Astyanax mexicanus: one gene and its partners. The protein of the gene in region 3 purifies or fractionates together with the protein of the main gene of each other region. This does not show direct contact. Links are inferred from orthologs where the notes say so. Each region holds a gene or a part of one and is shown on either strand. Other genes may lie near its edges. The genes, in order: timm13, cad and map3k14a.

Region 1 (3,756 bases), on a different chromosome or scaffold from region 3:
TCCCAGCCAATCACATTGCAGGGTCGGAACAAACTGTGGTATAATGTACAATAAGTCACTATCGTAATTTCCATGACAGCACAGACAGTGTTTAACAAACTGTTATCATACTTTTACTGAAATTTTTAATTCCCTTAAACTCAGAACTCATAAACAAGCCTGAAAACAATATGTATGCCAGGTATGTATGTATTAATCAAATGTTCAAAGGTTTATTTTTTCTCCCTATTTCTTTGTCATACCTTGTAATGATGTGTGCAGCATGTATTGTAAGTGTTTCCTGTGGAAGATTTGTTCCAGTTTTTACGCGTAGAACAAAAAACACGTAGCTAATATATTGTCGTCTGAACAAAAACTTGTATGTCAAAAAGTTATGCTTTAATAAAAATTTCATTAATAATTTGTGCATTTTAATGGTTAATGCATGAGTACATTTTGTCATGAATACAGTCAGATACAGTACCAGATCTCCCTTCTTAGTTAATGTTTTTTTTCTTTATTTTTATTACTTTCTACATTTTAGACAGAGGTGTCAAGTAACTAAGTACAAATGCTTACCTTACCTAAGAATAAATATTGGTTAGCTATACTTTACTGGAGTAATAATTCTTCACACAATTATCTGTACACCTACTCCTCACATTTTCACAAAGTTATCTGTTAAAATCGCCTCGTTACTCCTCTTCCATTATTCTTACATTACATTACATACTAAATCCCAGTGTTACCTTAAAGAAGGAGCATTTAAAATAATGTTTTAGCTGAATCTGTGACTTAATAATTCGTCCTTATAAGAAAGTGACCCAGTCTGCTGCTGCAAAAAAGAAAGAAAGAAACTTCATTTCCCATAAACCCTCTGTCTGCGGAAGCAGTGTAAGCAGTTCCTCCGGTGCATCTGAAGGGCATTAGGGGAAACAGTCCATGTGAGAGCCTCACGGAGGGAGTAAAGCCGGATACAGGGCAGTTTTAGCGAATTAGGGTTTATTAATAAACACAGAAATATGGACAGCTTCGGTTCAGATTACTCCTCCGCGGCGGGGTCCGGGAAAATGGACACGGGCACTATAATGGAGCAGGTGAAGGTGCAGATAGCGGTGGCGAACGCTCAGGAGCTCCTGCAGGTAACAGCACAGATCACACGCTCAGGCTAAATAACCCAGCACTAGCCTAGCCTAGCTGCTCATTACAATCTCCACATTACAGATTAAATACAGCTAGTTACCCACAAAACAACTGCATCAGATAAGGTGGAACCAAACAGCCAATTGGGAAACAAACATATTAATCAAAGAGTAATGAGTCATTCATAGTCATTCATTACTGAAACCTCTGTTTCTCCTGAGCTGCTGTGCTCTAAATAATCCAGCAGTTAAAGGGGACATTCAAAACTCATTGAAACAGTACAGTAATGTAGTATACAGCTCTGGAAAAAGAATTAAGAGACCACTTCATTTTCTGAATCAGTTTCTCTGATTTTGCTATTTATAGGTAGATGTTTGAGTAAAATAAACATTGTTGCTTTATTCTATAAACTACAGACATTTCTCCCCAATTCCAAATAAAAATATTGTCATTAAGAGCATTTTTTTTGCATAAAATGAGAAGTGGCTGAAATAACAAAATATGCAGAGCTTTCTGACCTCAAATAATGAAAAGAAAAGTTTATATTCATAAAGTTTTAAGAGTTCAGAAATCAATATTTGGCGGAAAACCCTGTTTTTTAACACAGTTTTCATGCATCTTGTCATGTTTTCCTCCACCAGTCTTACACACTGCTTTTGAATAACTTTATGCCACCCCTGGTGCAAAAATTCAAGCAGTTCAGCTTGGTTTGATGGTTATGATCATCCATATTCCACTTGATTATGTTCCAGAGGTTTTCAATTTGGGCAAATCATAGAAACTCTTAAGCGGTAAATTTTATTTGTAAAGGAATACACTAACTAGGGGTGTGCCATATCGTAACATATATAATAATATCTCCATAATATTTGAATATCGTAAACAATATTATATTCTGCTGCTTTTAGCCAAAAAAAATAAATCTAATTTCTCGTTTCCCATTATAGCTACTAGAGATGAATTATATCTGATTTATTTTACTTCAGTCCTATATATATTTGGAGTGCAGTAGAAGTATCATCACTTCTTACCCACAAAGGGTTGGTTTTCAGGTTTTCATTCTAAAAAATAGCTGTAGACCTGATTCTATTTGTTATTAATTGGGCCTGTCTTTAAACAGATGACAGACATGCTGTGTTTCTGCTTGGCTGGAATAAAAACCTTCAGTGACACCAGCCCTTTTGGGGAAATAACTGGATAACTAACTTTGGTTTAAAGGTGTCCTCAGTCTGATATTGGCACACTTGTATTTGATTGTAGACCCAACCAAGGTATCGATTTGTTATGTATTATTTTCTCAGAGAATGACAGATAAGTGCTTCAAGAAGTGCATTGGCAAGCCTGGAAGCACACTGGACAATTCAGAACAGGTAGGAATCAGTTTTTCTCTTTTTTACTTGTGTATGTGTACATGCATATATGATACATTTATTCCTGCAAGGTTCACCATGACACAACAGATTTTGCATTTTTGTTTTATTGGGAAAAAGACAATTTTATTTTTCTACTTTTATGATTTCTAATTATAATAAATGCAGTCATATTATGCACTTTCACGGTCATTGACAAAAGCTGTTTTTTTTTTTATATATATAAATCAGCCATAGCATTTAAAACATTTTTTGTAATATTGTCATGCCACCAAACCAGCTCTGACCAGTCAAGGCATGGACTCCATAAGACCTCTGAAGGTGTCCTGTGGTATCTGCCACCAAGACATTAACAGCAGTCCTGTAAGTTGTGAAGTGGGCCTTCATGAGCATCAGTGAGCCTTTAGCGCCCATATCCCTGTCACCAGTTCACCGTTTCACGGTTCACTAACCTTCTTTGGAGCACCTTTTGGTAGGTACTGACAATTGCATCCTGGGTTCCCCCAATAGACCTGCCTGATGTTTTTGAGATGCTCTGACCCATTCATCTATCAGTCAGATTAGGCTTTTTTATGCTGACTCAGACCCTCATACTTGCCTTAAGTTTAAGAACTGACTATTCCCTTGCTTACTAGTGTATCCCACCCTCTTTTTCAATTTATTTACAGACGGTTTCTGAGTTTCTAAAATTGTTATTTTGTTTTTTTTTGCAGAAATGCATCGCCATGTGCATGGACCGGTATATGGATGCATGGAACACAGTCTCTCGCGCCTATAACTCTAGACTTCAGAGGGAAAGGGCGCGAATGTAATGCAGAATCCATCCAGTTGGACCTCAGTGTTAACCTGAATCCCTGGGTATAGAGGCTTGGGGTACCAGTGGATCAGCCCCGCCCCTGTAACACCCAGAACTGGAGAACCATCCAAGGAATCGGGAGATTCTGACTTTTAGACCCAAGTTATTTCCTTTTTCCCCCCCTTAGGCATGTTGAATGTGGGTGGACAGTTACACTCATGGAAGGTATTTGATTATTATATTGCTGTACAGAGGCAGAATAATCATTTCAGGTTTGGTTAAAATTGAGTTAGTATTAAGTCAGATGTTTGAGGATCAGGTTCATCTTGTGACACCTCTGCTACGTCAGAACTATATTTGTCTCAGTTAAACTGTTGTCACAGTTACTGCCTTTTGGTTCAGTAAGGCAGTGTATTGTCCTAGCCATGTCTGCACTGAAGAGTGTTGTGTAGCAGCTGTTTCCAACTG
Region 2 (3,756 bases), on a different chromosome or scaffold from region 3:
CCAATGGTTACTACCCACCAATGACAGTATTACTATCAACAGTAAAACAGAAAAAGAAACCCTGAAAGCCCTCTGTTGAACTGCAGGTCAAATGACAGTAAGACTTGCAAAATGGGCTACAAGTGATTATTTGATAAAATATATACTCAGTTGAAACTTTGTCACAAAATCAGAATGAAATACTTTATGAAATATTTTTTAAAAAGGTTTTTTAAAAACAGTTACAAATTGAACAAAAAATGAGTGTAACCTTTATATTTTTAGATTGTTTTTAACAAAACAATTATTATAAAAAAATATTGTCAGGAACTCCTGAAGTCTTGTCATTTGTGACCAGCTAAAAACACTAAAGTACACTACACTTTCATATAATGAAGCATAAAGCATTTGCCCCGCCCATCTTCATTCGCCTTTTTGCTGTGTCGAGTAGTTTGTAGACGGTCCCTTAGCTCTCGTGCAGGTCGCGGCAGCCCATAGACGACAATGTGTTCTGTGGTTTTCTAAAGGCAGATGTTTGAGAGGGGAAAGACGTTGTAGCTGCTTGCTTTGGATGTCAGCATATAAAATAAGCAAGTATTAACCATTTTGCACACACAGTTCAAAAGCTATTGAAGAAAGAAATCCGAATATGCGAATATGAAACCAACTTTACCGGAGTCAAGAAGCACATGCTCAGAAAAAAAAAATAACATCATTAACACAAAGCTAAAATTGTATTTTGTACTCCTGTTGTGAAATGAACACTCATTACACTCATTGTGTACAACTATTGTTGTCTTTGTCTAAAGGTTTATGGGCATTTTAAACCCGTGGACGCGTATCTGTGGATTTTTTTTTCATAATCCTAAACCAAACCAAACCAAATGTATGAGTGGACTGTTCTATTGGTGAATAAAAACAGTTGCTTCTGCAGTGCTTTTTCGCACAGCTGTGTACTGAGTGTTGAAACCAGTAGATATTGTTGTGTTGTTATCTGAAGATACTGTGTTGAAACAGAAAAGAATCAGCTCTTTCCTGAATGAAAAATCACTACCGGGCCTGTCTTTCTTCGCCCCTCCCCCGGGGCGGAGTGTCGCGGAGCTGGGCTCTAGATTTAAGGCGCTGCGCTGGGGCGGCGGGTTTCCACGCTGCTGTGGCTCCGGACAGGGCGGTGTGGACTCGGGCTGCTGCTTCACGTTATTCTTTACAGACATCGGGAAAGGAGAACAGTTTCGTAAGACTCTACTCGTCCACAGTCGTGACCTCCTCCTCCTCCTGTGTGCTGAAAGCGCTCCGCCGCACACATACCGATTATCACGTGGGTCTATCGTCTCCACGAAAGAGGAGAAAAGTCGACGCCGTGGCAGTTAAAAAAACTCTGCTCCACCACCAGAGTACCCCATCTGCTGAGCGCTCTGTGTCCAGGCTTTAACTAGCTGTAAATATGTCGGCGAAAATGGCATCTTTGGTCCTAGAAGACGGAACCACGTTTAAAGGCCGCCTGTTCGGGGCCAGTGCCTCGGTATCTGGTGAAGTTGGTAAGTCGCTGGTTGCTTGGCGGAACACCGTGTTTACAGAGGGGCCTGATAGCCGGATTTACTCCGGTCGTGGCCCCTTGTCACACTAAAACGGCTGTAGTGTGAGGATAGAAGCAGCAGCAGCGATGCTAACTGCGTAGCTAGCCTGAGGGCTCTTACTGAGCTCCACGTGTCCTTCCTTCGCGCCGGATTGTTGAAAGACGAGCAGACGCGCTCATCCGCTGAGCTACAGCCTGTCCCCATACCTAGAGACCAGAGAAATAACCAGCACTCTTACATCTGTAGATCAGAGTAGATGATCTTGCAACATACATGATGAGTAAATCCAGTATTTCCACGCTTTATTTATCAGTTTATATAGCTAAACAGCTGACCAGCCTGAACTCGCGACTCTTTAGATGTTTGTGGCAGGTCCAGTGTGGTTATAAAATAAGTCCAGCTGTTTCTGTTTACAGTGTTTTCCACTCTGGTTATATTGTAAGAAACTAAGTCCAGTGTAAAGGTGTTCTAGCTAAGGTACGAAACGTTTTATAAGAATGCGCACAGACCTAATGTCCGTCCCATTTAATTTTAAATTCACTTATGACGCTTTCTATTAAAACATCTGTTGAGTAAGCAGGAATGCATGTAGGACAAAAAGTGTGATCATCTTTAACATTAACTGTCTTTACACCTTTTCAGTTTTCCAGACAGGAATGGTTGGCTATCCAGAAGCACTTACTGACCCTTCATATAAATCTCAGATATTGACTTTAACCTACCCACTAATCGGGAACTATGGTGTGCCCAGTGACGAGGATGGTGAATTTGGCATCAGCAAGGTGAATAATAATTTGCATATTTTTAAATTATGGCAAATTGCTTGTCAAATAGCAATTTAACTCTTTCAACATTTTTCTCTGTAGTGGTTTGAGTCTTCTAGGATCCACGCCACTGCGCTTATTGTTGGTGAACTTTCTCAGAATCCCAGTCATTGGAGTTCAGTCAAATCTCTAGATCAGTGGCTCAAAGAGCAAGGCATCCCAGGACTAGAGGGTAAGATAATAAGTTTTCTTGAAGAACATACATGCATCCCTTTACCCTGACACTCTGCGCCTTTTAGTAACTGTACTATATTAAACCCAGATCAGTATTAAGCAACATGGTTTGAATGTTGAATTTCTAATAACATTAATATTTACATGTATAAAGTTAGAGAAGCTAATTTACATAACAGAACTCTACTCTGCTATTCAGTTATCTATTGAATTGAATCAATAAATTTGGACTGCTCCTGACTTTTCCTCTAAAAGCAGGTTATACTCATAATATAGCTTTAATTTATTCTGCAATAGTGGATTTCTATGTATTGTGATGTTAAGTGGAGTAAGCAGGTCTGGCCCCTCTGCTTTTTTTATAACCTGCTTGCCATGTTCTACATGCTGTTGATGTTTTTGCAAAATAGGAGTTGACACCCGTTGTTTGACTAAGAAGATCAGAGAAAAGGGAACCATGCTTGGAAAACTTGTGGTTGAAGGGACACCTGCGGAGAACATCCTGTTTGACAATCCTGACAGTCGGAACTTGGTGAAAGAAGTGTCCGTAAAAGTATGGATTGACAAATAATATTTGCAGTATACCCTTTTCATAAATTATCAGCATTGATTTGTTTTCCCTCCCTTTTACCACAGTACATTTCAAACTTGAGTATTTTACTTTATACTACACTACATTATAGAATGTCATTACATTTTGTGAAAATACAGAATGCCAAAACAAAAGAATCATGAAGCAAGTGACCCAATTCAGGGTGCAGCATAGTTTTGCCTTTTTGGACATAGCTGCCTATACGGATTAACATTTTATAAAACAGTTTGAACATTTGGAAATACATGTTCCTACATTAAATCATTTAATATATGGGCTGTATATAGAAAGTATAGTAAGGAATCTATGTGACCCAAAGCCAGTTGATCCCTAAAAAGTAGTATAGTAATAAAGTAGCAAATAAATCTTAATAGACATCCGTGTCTGACTGATCATGACATTCTATTAAATTATTGCTGTCTTTGCAACTAAAAAAGTTGATTAAGGAGGAGTCTTGTTACATTATGATCATAGGACATAAGGGCTATAATAAATCATGATTTATTTACTTTTGGTACATTTCAGTGCAAATACTTTTGTACTTTTACTCAATAAGAGTTTTAAAGAGTACTTGGGGAATTTCTACTTTTACTCAGGGTCTTGATTTTTGTAC
Region 3 (3,756 bases):
TCTAGTTTGCACAGTATTTTTCTAGAAATGAATGTCAAAGCTGCAGTATAACAAAAGCTAATACTATGTATGCAAACATGTTGTACCAAGTAAACCAAGACGCAAATGTATTTGAATTTCAAATTTCTTTTAAATTTAGATGTGAAATAACAGTATTTCTTTATTCAGTATTGATTTATTTGTTTATATTTCAGATATTCAGTGTTGAACATTTTAGTGTGGGAATTTTCTGGCTGCTCAGGCAACATCTACTAAACACAACATACACACACTCACACCAAGGACACCTGCTTACACAGAGAAGCTAAAAATACAACATGGATACAAAGCTATATTCAGTTTACAATGTGGACTATGTCCATGCCAGTCATTATGCCAGCTACCTTTCAGGTTTTGCGTTCATAAAACAGCATCATATCCCATGTTATTAGTGCTCTATTATTGAGTCATTAGTGCAGTATAAATACAATTAAATTTATTCTGATAATAAAATAAATATTCCTAGCATCTCTGATGATAATCACGAACAAAAAAACATTCAAAAACTAATACGCTAAATGTGTTGCCTATATTAATCATATTTACATTAGTTTAGAAGCTGCTGCATATATCTGGTGTACTTTAATATGGTTTTATTTTTAAAATACAATTTTTGGTCATTTTTGTTAAGCTACTTCTGCACCCATATTGAAAAGAAGATGCTGAAAAGATATAGTGTACAAGTGAATCTCCAAAGAATTAGAATAGTATTGAAAAAATACTTTATTTCAGTAATTCAGTTAAAAAAATAAGCATTTATTTCTTTTATTGTTGATGATTATGGCTTACAGCCAATGAAAACCCAAAAATCAGTGTCTCCGTAAATTAATACATTATATAAGACCAACAGGGACTTTTGGCAGTTTGGGCAGTGTGCCAAGTCCTGCTGGAAAATGAAATCCGCATCTCTATAAAAGTTGTCAGCAGAGGGAAGCATGAAGTGTTGTAAAAATTTTCCCGGGAAAACACTGCACTGGCTTTGGACTTGATATAACACAGTGGACCAACACCAGAAGATGACATGACTTCTTAAACTTCAAGCAGTTTGGACTGTGTGTCTCTCCACTCTTCCTCCAGACTCTGGTCCCTTGATTTTCAAATTAAATTAAATTTACTGATGGTTAGTGATGGTTTGGAGAGCCATGCCATCTCCTGTTGTTGGCCCACTGTGTTATATAAGTCAGTGCAGTGTTTTCCCGGAAAAACTTACAGTTCTTCATGCATCCGTCTGCTGACAACTTATATGGAGATGTGGATTTTATTTTCCAGAAGGACCTGGCACACTGACCACACTGCCAAAAGTAACAACTGGTCTTATGTAATATTCAAATTTTCTGAGATACTGATTTTTGGGTTTTCCTTAGCTGTAAGCCATATAAGCCATAATCATCAGCAATAAAAGAAATAAACACTTAAAATAGATCACTCTGTGTGTAATACATCTATGTAACATATAAGTTTCAGGTTCTAACTTTTCAATGATACTCAATTTTTTTAGATGCACCTGCATAATAAATGTTGGGACCCAACATTGTTAATCTGTTTCAAACTAAAGTTAAAGAGTTGTTGAGTTGTTCAGAGTTGGTAGGGGAGGTGTAATTGTGTTGTAATCCAGGTAAGAGAGCAGGTGTGATGCTGCTCACCTTTCATGAACATCATTAGCAGGCAGGTCTTAAGGAGCCTGCAGTGAATTAGCGTTAGAGTTAACAGTTCAGGAAATGATGTCTTTCAAATGAAGGCCAAACGTTACACCCATAATTTGAACCAGGACAGCTAACCTATCTAAACATGTTTAACCCATAAACTACAGAACATATTCTTTAAATGCTATTTAATAAAACAGAACATTTAAACACCTAAACACAGTCGGTTACCTAGTTAGCTAGCTAATATTTCTGAGGTAAATGTATGCTAAGCTAACTACCTTAATTAGCAGTTAACGTTAACTGTTTTTGCACAACTTGGCTTCCTAATAAAGTAAAGCATTTCCTACAAAAACTCGCTAACCTAATAAAGCTAGGAAGCAAAAATGGTCAAAAAATATAAGTTTAAGACTCGGTTAAACAGCCAACCGTCCATAAAACTAACTTCAGCGCTGAAACAGAGGTTTACAGCCGAGTTCAGTCGAGGAGGGCTGAGCTAGCGATACAGCTGCTTCCACTTCCTCCTTCTTTAATCCGCCATTTCACTTATTAAACAAAACAGCTTTTCTCTCTGAAATAAACTCGAATAAAGTGGATTCCTCCGTCACCTCCAGCTCAGCGAACAGACACTGTACACACAATGAGTAGTGAAAGTGAAGTAAACTCACCGGTTAATGTGTGAGAAGTGAAGAAAACGCAGGCGAATGTCTCGTATGTGTGTCGTTGTGCTTGCGGTCTGAGAGCTGCTGCTGCCTCTGCTCGAGGTTCCTCCTCCTCCAGATACTCAGCAGAGCTTCAGCTCTGGGCTCTCTGACTGATATCAAAACCAGTATATAGACACTTTATCAATATAGAGCAGAGAAGTTAATAATTGTGACACTGTATTGGTCTTTACAAAATGCTAAATGCCTCTTCTGTATCAAAGAAATGCAGCAAAAAATGTATAACAACTGTTCAGTTCCTTCTGGCACATTTAGCTCATCATAGACTTTAAGTGTTTACATCCTGTGCATTATGGTGTTACACTGTATATACAGCTCTGGGAAAAAATAGAGAACACTTAAAAATGACGAGTTTCTTTGATTTTTACCAAATTGAAAACCTCTGGAATATAAATAAGAGCAAGATGGGTGATCACAAGCCCTCAAACCAAGCTGAACTGCTTTTGCATTATGTGTGGAATGAAGTTATTCAAAAGCAGTGTGTAAGACTGGTGGAGGAGAACATGCCAAGATGTGTGAAAACTGTGATTAAAAAACAGGGTTCTTCCACAATATATTGATTTCTGAACTCTTTATGAGATTTATTTACATTATTTGAGGTCTGAAAATTTTGCATCTTGTTTTGTTATTTCCGTCATTTCTCATTTTCTGCAAATAAATGCTCAAAATGACAATTTTTTTATTTGGGGGAAATGTTGTCCGTAGTTTATAGAATAAGACAACAATATTCATTTTACTCAAACATGTACTTATAAATAGCAAAATCAGATAAACTGATCTGTCTCTTATTTTTTCCATATACAGTGGATTTCAAATGTATTCATTCTTCTTTTAAGTTTTTCTCATTTTTTACCTTACAACCACACACTTAAATCTATTTTATTAATTTTAATTGTTAGAATTAAAATTATGCTTTCCAAATTTTATTCATATACAAATCTAAAAAAGTGTCACGTGGAAATAAAATCTACTGCAATTAATTGCCCTCAGAAGTCAATTTGTCAAATAGAGTCCAGTTGTGTGTAATTTAGCCTTGTAATTTAGAACGTGTTCTGTTCTGACCTCAGAGGTTTGTTAGGCTTACAAGCCTCATTCCACATTCACAAATATAAGTGACCTGTATCTGTGTGTAATGTAAACGAATCTGTCCCTGAAACGCCTCACATGTGCACATTGATACGTGTATAAATGTCGCCTTCCTCACCAACAACAAGAAAAACCTTTAAGAGACATATGTGAGAGACAACCCATTACTTAACTTTTTTAAGGCAACCGGTTTCCTCCATTTTTTTTATAATAAATTCAACTTATCTGGGCTTACAGTGTACCAAGAAATGGTCATCCACCCAAAC

The links.
Region 1: the proteins of map3k14a (region 3) and timm13 purify together in Homo sapiens (affinity purification with mass spectrometry; 3 studies listed by BioGRID and IntAct, with this or other methods). This does not show direct contact. The link is inferred for Astyanax mexicanus from reciprocal best matches to the Homo sapiens genes MAP3K14 and TIMM13.
Region 2: the proteins of map3k14a (region 3) and cad purify together in Homo sapiens (affinity purification with mass spectrometry; 3 studies listed by BioGRID and IntAct, with this or other methods). This does not show direct contact. The link is inferred for Astyanax mexicanus from reciprocal best matches to the Homo sapiens genes MAP3K14 and CAD.

Annotation. Positions count from the first base shown.
Region 1 is NC_064423.1:26,851,203-26,854,958, reverse strand, and holds the start of timm13 (mitochondrial import inner membrane translocase subunit Tim13), read left to right. Parts: upstream 1-859; 5' UTR 860-1,001; coding exon 1,002-1,121; intron 1,122-2,423; coding exon 2,424-2,492; intron 2,493-3,205; coding exon 3,206-3,304; 3' UTR 3,305-3,756. UniProt on the Homo sapiens protein: Mitochondrial intermembrane chaperone that participates in the import and insertion of some multi-pass transmembrane proteins into the mitochondrial inner membrane.
Region 2 is NC_064408.1:56,415,931-56,419,686, forward strand, and holds the start of cad (CAD protein), read left to right. Parts: upstream 1-1,092; 5' UTR 1,093-1,423; coding exon 1,424-1,517; intron 1,518-2,198; coding exon 2,199-2,338; intron 2,339-2,422; coding exon 2,423-2,552; intron 2,553-2,961; coding exon 2,962-3,104; intron 3,105-3,756. UniProt on the Homo sapiens protein: Multifunctional protein that encodes the first 3 enzymatic activities of the de novo pyrimidine pathway: carbamoylphosphate synthetase (CPSase; EC 6.3.5.5), aspartate transcarbamylase (ATCase; EC 2.1.3.2) and dihydroorotase (DHOase; EC 3.5.2.3).
Region 3 is NC_064426.1:23,748,300-23,752,055, reverse strand, and holds the start of map3k14a (mitogen-activated protein kinase kinase kinase 14), read right to left. Parts: upstream 2,477-3,756; 5' UTR 2,351-2,476; intron 1-2,350.